Linked DNA regions of Caenorhabditis elegans. The protein of the gene in region 2 purifies or fractionates together with the protein of the main gene of each other region. This does not show direct contact. Each region holds a gene or a part of one and is shown on either strand. Other genes may lie near its edges.

The links. Proteins that work in one complex are often made in the same cells at the same time.
Region 1: the proteins of nssp-5 (region 2) and tba-4 fractionate together in Caenorhabditis elegans (co-fractionation; one large-scale study listed by BioGRID). This does not show direct contact.

Annotation. Positions count from the first base shown.
Region 1 is NC_003280.10:10,916,798-10,921,492, reverse strand, and holds tba-4 (Tubulin alpha chain), read right to left. Parts: upstream 2,788-4,695; 5' UTR 2,776-2,787; coding exon 2,083-2,775; intron 2,030-2,082; coding exon 1,509-2,029; intron 1,464-1,508; coding exon 1,331-1,463; 3' UTR 1,277-1,330; downstream 1-1,276. Other genes in the region: F44F4.10 (PARP catalytic domain-containing protein), read left to right, coding at 4,276-4,332, 4,391-4,519, 4,577-4,695.
Region 2 is NC_003279.8:4,588,401-4,592,584, forward strand, and holds nssp-5 (uncharacterized protein), read right to left. Parts: upstream 1,500-4,184; coding exon 1,200-1,499; downstream 1-1,199. Other genes in the region: D1007.10 (Gustatory receptor), read left to right, coding at 394-528, 840-956.

The DNA of each region.
Region 1 (4,695 bases), on a different chromosome or scaffold from region 2:
GACCTAAAAATTAAACAAAAAGAACATATTTTTAATTCTCACGTTTAATTTTTTAATTTGCATTAAAACAATTGAAATACTGAGCAAATTACCAAATAATTACACGTGAGAATTAAAAATATGTTCTTTTTGTTTAATTTTTAGGTCGTTTCAGAGAAGAAATCACCTAAAATGAACATGAAATTCGTAAATGGCGTGTTCTCAGCTTTCTAAAAATATATTTTTCGACCCAAAAATCGCAATTTAATTTTTTCGCCCATTTTTCGAAAAGCAAAAGTCCCATTTCTTATTTTGGAGCGGAGGACGATTTTGGAGATGAGCCAACATTTTCGAAAGATTTTTTAGGACATTGTAGAGACCTCAAAAGAAAGATCATTGTTCAAAATTTCAAGTCGATACGTTAGATATGAAGAGTTTTATGAGCGAAATTGGATTTTTTCAGAAAACGGTCTGTAACTTGGCTGAACATGAAAATATCAAAAATCTTAAAACTGATAAAATGTAGAGAAATAGTTCTTACATACAACTCATGAAAAGTTTTTTCTGCAATTCAATGAACGTTGGGTTATGACGGGCACAACAAAAGAGTTCTCAAAATTTTTCATGATTTCTGGGAAAATGGCTTTGACTCTGTGTAACTCTACAAATAGCTGGTGTATTAAAATAAAAATTAAAGTAATAAATAGAAAAAATGTTTCTGATTATTTTGTTGTTTGAACAATTGCTTTCTAGAAGTGTGTTTTTTGAGATATGTCAGTTTGAAGATACTCCGTTTAGCGAGTTTATGAGGTTATTTGGTCCGCCGAGCGTGTTGAAACTACGAAAAATATCACTTCCAGACGTCATTGAAAGCCTAAAATCAAAAGAAGGAAAAGTTTAGGTATTTGCCCCTACAATGTTCACATAAAAAACCCATGGTTTTAGGAGTTTCCAGTGATAAGCCTTACCGAAAACTGATTGGAACTCTGCGGGCTGAGCAGCACAATGACAAGGAAGACACTATAAAGTGTGACGTCGGCCATACCTTTTAAAGCACATTATGAAATGGAATGAAACTGACCATTTATATGCAAAATTAGTAGATTTTATAAACTTTGAAAATGTATATCTGGTTTCAAAATAACTTGTAAAGAAATTCCCGTAGCCATTTCATTGCGAATTTTGTGTTCTTTCAGCATTTAAAAACGGCATTCCAAAAGCTTCTCATTTTGGGATTGAATGGAATAGGCCATTTTCCCCCTTTCTTTGTAAAAAAATCTCCTCCAATCAAACTCGCAATTGTTAATAATTTAAACACTTTATGATACATAAGTATTTAACAGTGAACATTTCAATACTCTTCTCCGTCTTCTTCCAATCCCTCGTTGGAATCAGCTCCGACCTCTTCGTAGTCCTTCTCGAGAGCTGCCAAGTCTTCACGAGCCTCAGTGAACTCTCCCTCTTCCATTCCTTCTCCGACGTACCTGCAAATAATCGATATTTTGTGTTTCAAACAACTCGAATCTTACCAGTGAACAAAGGCGCGCTTGGCGTACATCAAGTCAAACTTGTAGTCCAGGCGGGACCAGGCCTCGGCGATAGCCGTAGTGTTGGAGAGCATGCACACGGCGCGTGGCACCTTGGCAAGATCACCTCCTGGAACCACAGTTGGTGGTTGGTAGTTGATTCCAACCTTGAACCCAGTTGGGCACCAATCCACAAATTGAACTGATCTCTTGGTTTTGATGGCAGTAATTGCAGTGTTCACATCCTTCGGCACAACATCTCCGCGGTACAGAAGACAGACAGCCATGTACTTTCCGTTGCGTGGATCACATTTGACCATCTGATTTGCTGGTTCGAAGCAGCTATTGGTGATGTCATTGACAGACAGAGCCTCGTGATATGCCTTCTCGGCAGAGATCAATGGAGTGTAAGAGGCCAATGGGAAATGAATTCTTGGGTATGGCACCAAGTTGGTCTGGAACTCGTTGAGATCCACGTTGAGAGCTCCGTCAAATCTGAGTGAAGCGGTGATTGAAGACACAACCTGAAAAGAAAAGGAAACACATAGGATACATTAAAACAAGTATTTTGCGAAACCTGAGAGATAATTCTGTTGAGATTGGTGTAACTCGGTCGGTCAACATCCAAATTTCGCTTGCAAATGTCGTAGATCGCCTCGTTATCAACCATGAATGCACAATCGGAGTGCTCCAAAGTAGTATGAGTAGTAAGGATCGAGTTGTATGGCTCAACGACTGCAGTGGAAACTTGTGGAGCTGGATAGATTGAAAACTCTAGTTTCGACTTCTTTCCGTAGTCAACCGACAAACGTTCCATCAGCAGTGAGGTGAATCCGGATCCAGTACCTCCACCGAAGGAGTGGAAGACAAAGAATCCTTGAAGACCACTACAGTTGTCGGCGAGACGACGGATTCTGTCAAGAGTAGTGTCGATGAGCTCCTTGCCAACGGTGTAGTGACCACGAGCATAGTTATTAGCAGCGTCTTCCTTCCCAGTGATCATTTGTTCTGGATGGAACAGCTTCTTGTAGTTTCCAGTGCGGATCTCGTCGACGACTGTTGGCTCAAGATCCACAAAAATAGATCTCGGAACATAGCGTCCATTTCCAGTATCTGAGAAGAACGTGGTGAAGGATCCACCCTCATTTTGTTGCTCAGAAGGCATAGTTCCATCGGGTTGAATTCCGTGCTCGAGACAGTATAGTTCCCAGCAAGCATTTCCAATTTGAACTCCCGCCTGTCCAACGTGAATGGAGATTACCTCACGCATGGTTTTTTTTCTCTGAAAATTGAAAGAAATTTAGGTTCAGAATAGTAAAATTAACTATAAAATCGTAGAACGTAGGAACGCAAAGATATACGGGCGTTATGTATACTACGGGGAGAAGAGAAGGACAATAGTGGTCAGCGGCGAGGCCAAGAAGAACTATGAAGAAATAGGGAAATAGTGTTGCGCCAGTGGAGAGAGAAAATGAGAAATGGTCGATGTAAGTGCAAAAGCAAGGGGACGAAAAGTAATAATGATAGGTGGAGAGACACATTACGAAATGTGTGGTTGCTGCTGTGTCGATTAAATTATAAAATGACACGTTTAATTATGGATTTTCATTTCTTGTTCAGAAGCTTCAAAAAAATAGTTACAGCTACCATGCATTTGTGACACCACGCATGCAGTTTTTACGATGACTCAATCGCATTTTTTGACGATCTTGCAGTTGATTGATTTTCTGTCGCATCGTTTTCTTTTTCATGGTTAACGTTCAATGATGCCGATCAATGCACAAAAAAGGAATTTTTATCTGGTCAATGAGAATTCTCGTTTGATATAACCGGAGTGCAAGAAATGATCCTCGAGCACTGTTTGTCCAAGACTAGTGGATCTCCGGGTATTATTTTTGATATTGATTTATCTTGAAATAAATCATGTTGAAGATATTTTTCAATGCGGCATTAGGCCAAAAATAACCGTGCAAACGGCTTTGGGAACAGGGATGGGCTGCAAATTCGGCAAATCGGCAATTCGCCGGTTTTCCGATTTGCCGGATATTTTGATTTTCGGAAAATTGCCAATTTGCCGTTTATCGAACATCAATTTGCCGGAACTTTTTAGAGGAGTTTTTTTATAAAATGGAAACACTTAAAACTGTGTCTTTTTGATTTTTTTTTTCAAGATAGATGTAGGAACATTCATAGGTTGCGTTCAATTTTGCCGATTAAAATTGAACTTTTGAAATTTTCAAAAAAAATGTGCAAAACCACAATTTGCCGATTTGCCGATTTGCCGAAAATTTCAATTCCGGCAATTTGCCGACTTGCTGGTCAATCCCATAGATAATTGGGTTTTTGGTATGTGTATGTATTTGCCAGACTATAAAATGGAGAGGCTCACATGGTCATTAGTCACGTGTTGAGAATCATCCTTAGCTTGCTCATAAATGCTAGATCCATCAATAATTCGACAGCTTCACGATTACTGAATGGGGAAAGGCAAAGATCAAATGAATATTCGGGGGATAAGTTGAATGGCAGAACGTGATACAAGCTTTGTCACAGTCTAATATGCTTTTTTTTTTTTTTAAACTTGAAAAAAAAACACAACAATATACACAAAAGTAAGACAATTTTTGTTACGTGGCCGAAAGGTTATTCTTGCAACCACAATAAACTCGGTAAAACGAAGAAAAAACAACAAGGGAGATTTTGTGGATTTTTCAATCATTGTTTGATATTTCTGTAAAACAAAGTTCCAACTAATCAAGAGGTGCAAATAATGAACGATGGGAACTCACGAACTCCGTACAACAGCCTCTACAAACCGCTGAACTTGGTAAGTTTTTTAAGCTTTTCAGTTTGAGCTTTTGAAGCTTTAACAGTATCTTTTTCAGATCAAATCAAAGCCGGATGGATGTTGCAAGCACAACGGTCAGTGCCCTTATGGTAAAAATCAAGCGGAAAGTGTGGACGATGGGAACTCCAGAACTCCGTACAACAGCATCTACGAGCCGCTGAGCCTGGTAAGTTCTGAAATTTCGAGTTTAAAACTTCTGAAGCTTCAACATGCTCTTTTTCAGAATAAATCGAAGCCAGACAGTCAGTGCTCCAACGGTAAAAAACCAGCGGACGACGAGTACGTGAATCTTCTGCTGCCGCAAAGCAAAGAGGAACAGGTGGCTGAGAAGCTTGCGGACAA
Region 2 (4,184 bases):
AAAGAATTTTTGAAGGTCTTCAAGCCAAATTTAGCAATTTTTTCGCCGATCCGGTCTTGACACGACAATTTTTGTTAAATTAAATTGGGTGCACCTTTAAAGATTACTGTAATTTCAAACTTCAGTGGCTTTGGAATTTTCTTCGTTTTTTTCATATTTTTTTCTTTAAAGTATATTCAATTATTGAGAGAAAAAACAGTAAAAACACATAAATTTTAAAAAGTCGATGAAAATTCCAATGTTTGAAACTACAGTACTTTTTCAAGGTGCACACCCTTTTACATTTAACAAAATTGTCGTGGGGAGACCGTGTACCGGAGGAAAAATTTTGCCAAAAATATTTGAAAATTAAATTTTTTTAAATAATCAAACATTTTAATTTTTTTTTTCCAGAAACACTTATCAGACGAAGAGATTACTGATTTGATTGTGAACAGCCAGAAAAGAATTGGAAAATATTTGAATTTCCGGAATATCTACATAACCTCTACGGTTTTCGTCACTTTTCTTCTCAATATTTTATATGCGGTAAGACATTAAGTCAGAAATCATTGAAAAATGTGATTTTTCCGGAAAAGTAACGGTTTTTTCAAACGAAAATTATGGGTTATCTAGAAATTTGCACTGTGCAGGAAAAATTTAGTTTTTTAACTCGAAAAACCACTTGTATTTATAGAAGAAAGATGGCAATGAAGCTTAGTACAATTCAATTTTTGCAATAATTAATTTTTTTGCAATAAAATAATTTTTTGGTGGAAAGCAAAACACAGTCTTGGGTCTCACCCCGAAAATAAGATTAACATTGTCAAACTTTTGAAATTCAAGATTTCTTTTTCCAGATCACGGGTCTCTTGATTAATCGAAAAATGCTTGCCTTCGGATTCGCGATCGGAGCCAACCAAGTTATCGATGATATTCTTAACGGGAGAGAATACGGTTCGACCGAATTATTGTAAATTATTTGTGTATGTTGTATATAAACAATTTGACTATATTTATTGAAATGATTTTGTTATTCAAGATCCAAGAGAAGCAGACATAGAAATGAAATGAAGAGAATTATGCATGAAAAATTAAGAATTTTCAAAAATTCCAAAACCCGTAATTGGAAAACGATGAGAAAGAGATTTGAGATCTAACTATAGAATAAGATTAATTTAATTTTTGGAGCAACAAAAAAAGATGAGGGAAACCATATTTTAAAGCGGTTTTCTGAGTAAAAGACGAATTAAACGTGGCAATGACTCTTCTACCATTGGTTCCACAGGCCGTCTCCATATCGGATGCTTGATTTTCGTGCTTTCAGTGAGCAAAAACTGCCGTTTTCGATGAGCGGGATGAAGTGGGAGAGATCTTCGTTTCACATAATGTGTGCAACAACGGACACATTGAACTGGTGACGTATAAATTGCACAGGATGAATTACAATCGCATTGGGTACTGTAGGTGACGTGGAATCCGAGAAGTATCAGAAGACCCAAACCGATGAGCCCAGGCATTTTTTGTGGAAGGGACTGGAAAAATATGAATGAAATTAGGTATTTTGAGAGAAAACTTCGGAGTATAAGGATTTACAGAGAAGTTCAAGAAGAAAAGGTGAACGGAAATTAATAAAGAAAAACACTGTTAGGTCCCACCCAAGTTTTACGTTACCACAGTCCTTCTGGATTCCTGGAGTTCCAGTTCGAAACGTGGATCGTGTCGGGACCCAATTCGAATTTTTTTAAATACTATATTTTCGATATTTTCACAACAAAACACGGTGGCAGGTCTCGCTCGACGCGACGAATTGAAAAAAAAGTTCCATAGGTTTGAAAGTACAGTAATCTTTGAAGGCGCACATGCTTTTTCATTTAACATGACGAAAAATTGTCGTGTCGAGACCGGGTACTGTATTTTTAGGGAAACAAGTTTTTAGAGAAGAATCGCAAAATTGTTTTTTTTTGAAACAACTGGAGAGATATTCTTTATTCTTAAATTTTTAAAAGATTTCTTCAAAGATGGTTTTTAAAAATGTATATGGGTCACAATGGTTGACAAAATTAAAAAAAAAGATTACAAAAAAATGGAATATTTCATAACAGAGTTCTCAGAAAATTCGAAATTGTGCCGGATATTTATAGAAAAGTATGGGCGGAGCCTGTTGAATTTTTGATCTTTTTTTCATGTTTTCCCATCTTAGGACAAATGGGATCTCATTTTGGGGTGGGCGAGACCATGTTTGCTCAGATTTTGAAATAGGAATTTTGGAGAAGGGTTTTTGGGCTGCTCTTCGTGAAAACACAAATGTTCAACAAAAATTTGAAATTACAGACCGCAAAATGCACAATTTTATGATTTTTGTACGATCTCGAAGCGACAAATTTTTATTAAATGCGAAAAGGTGTGCGCCTTTAAGGAGTACTGTAATTTCAATATTTTGTTGCTGCGGAATTTTTTATCGATTTTTTGGTAAAAAATACAACTCTTCATTCTAAAAACTTAAAATCAACAATAAAAATGCACAAAAATTCCACGACAACTAAAATTTTAAATTACAGTACTCGTTAAAGGCGCACACCTGTTTGAATTTAATTTTTTTTAAACTGTTGTGTCGAGACCGGGTACCGTGTTTTTTTTACACAAAAATCGCGAAAAATTTGAAAATGTTTCCAATTAAGATGCTAAAAATAGGTATCGGTCAACACAGTTGAAAGACTAAAAACTTTTTGCACACTAATACAGACTGCATAGGCTCCGCCCACTACAATCGGAAGTCATGTGCTGTCCGTCGGAGAAACAGTTCTTTGTGGTGTTTTCAGAGAAAAAGAGACAGGCGAATTACGCGCGAAGCACGTATTTTATGACGCAAATTAGATAAAAGGGATGAGTGTTTTTAATTTTTAATTGATAGGCACTCGTGAATTTATTGAGAAAATTGCCGGAGGTTGATTTTTTTTTCAAAAAAAAAATCTTTTCACAGACGGCCGAGAAATTGAAAAAAAAAAACTGGGCCACAACAAGGGACTGCAGGCAATTTCTGGCCGAGTTTTGTGTTTATCTAGGAAATAATATTTTTGAAATTTTGAAGAAAAACTCGGCCACCGAGGTTCTTTCGAGTATGGTACTGTATTTTTTTACAAGAAAAATTTGTCATGAATATTTTTTTGAAGATCTAAAAAATTTGATTTCTAAAAAATCGTGGTAGGACCTACAGTACGTTACTGTAGCTACCGTAACCTATAAGTTAAACCCTTTAAGTTCAAGATTTTCCAAAAAAAAGAAGCACAAGCACACATATGTGTGTCTGACACAGATCGTGTACAATTTACAGAAAAAATTCATTCAATTTTAATCCGATTATTAAATTATTAAAGTTCAATTGGTCTTCGACGACGTAGATCATGACCTAATTTAATTATGATCTTGATCAAAGATTTTCCGGAAAAAAATACCATTTCAAAATGGAGCGCTGGAGCGTGTTTACTGAAACTGATTTTTCAAAAAAATACTGTAGCTACAAAAGGAATTTTTTTGACGGTACCGTAACCAGTTCTAATTGCTATAGTGAATACTATAAGTGAAAAATACACACTACAGTAATCCGGTTACAATGCAAACTAAGGATTACTGTAGAATAGACAAAGTACAGTAACCCAAAGTTTGCATACAAATATCAAAGTTTAAATATTAAACTAAAATAACTAGTCAGAAAAAATATTACGGTAGGTGAAAATAATACTTTTTTTTGAAAAATTACAGATATGGCGTACTGTTACTAATTACGAAAATTATAATGTAGCGTTACAGAAATCCTATGACAATTTTTTGTTACGGTGCGATCCAGGATTAATGTAGAATAAAAATACAGTAACCCAAATTCAAATTGTAAGAAATATGAAAGTTAAAATGTCAAACTAAACCGAACTAGTCAGAGAAAGGAATTGGAAAAATTGGAGTCATAAAAATGGGTGGGGTATGTTCTGAACTGAAAAGTTGATAGTGAATGCACAGGCTGCGGGGGAGGGCTTCTCCGAAAAATGGGCGGGAACTATTTAAGGAAATTGTAGAGAAGAGACGCAGACAGGAAAATGAAGGGTGGTATATCTTAAAGGGGCAAGACAAGGGGAGAGAAAACGAGTCTAATGTGATAAACTACTCAGTTCCTCAGATAAATATTAGGATGAGAAATACGTTTTCTTGTT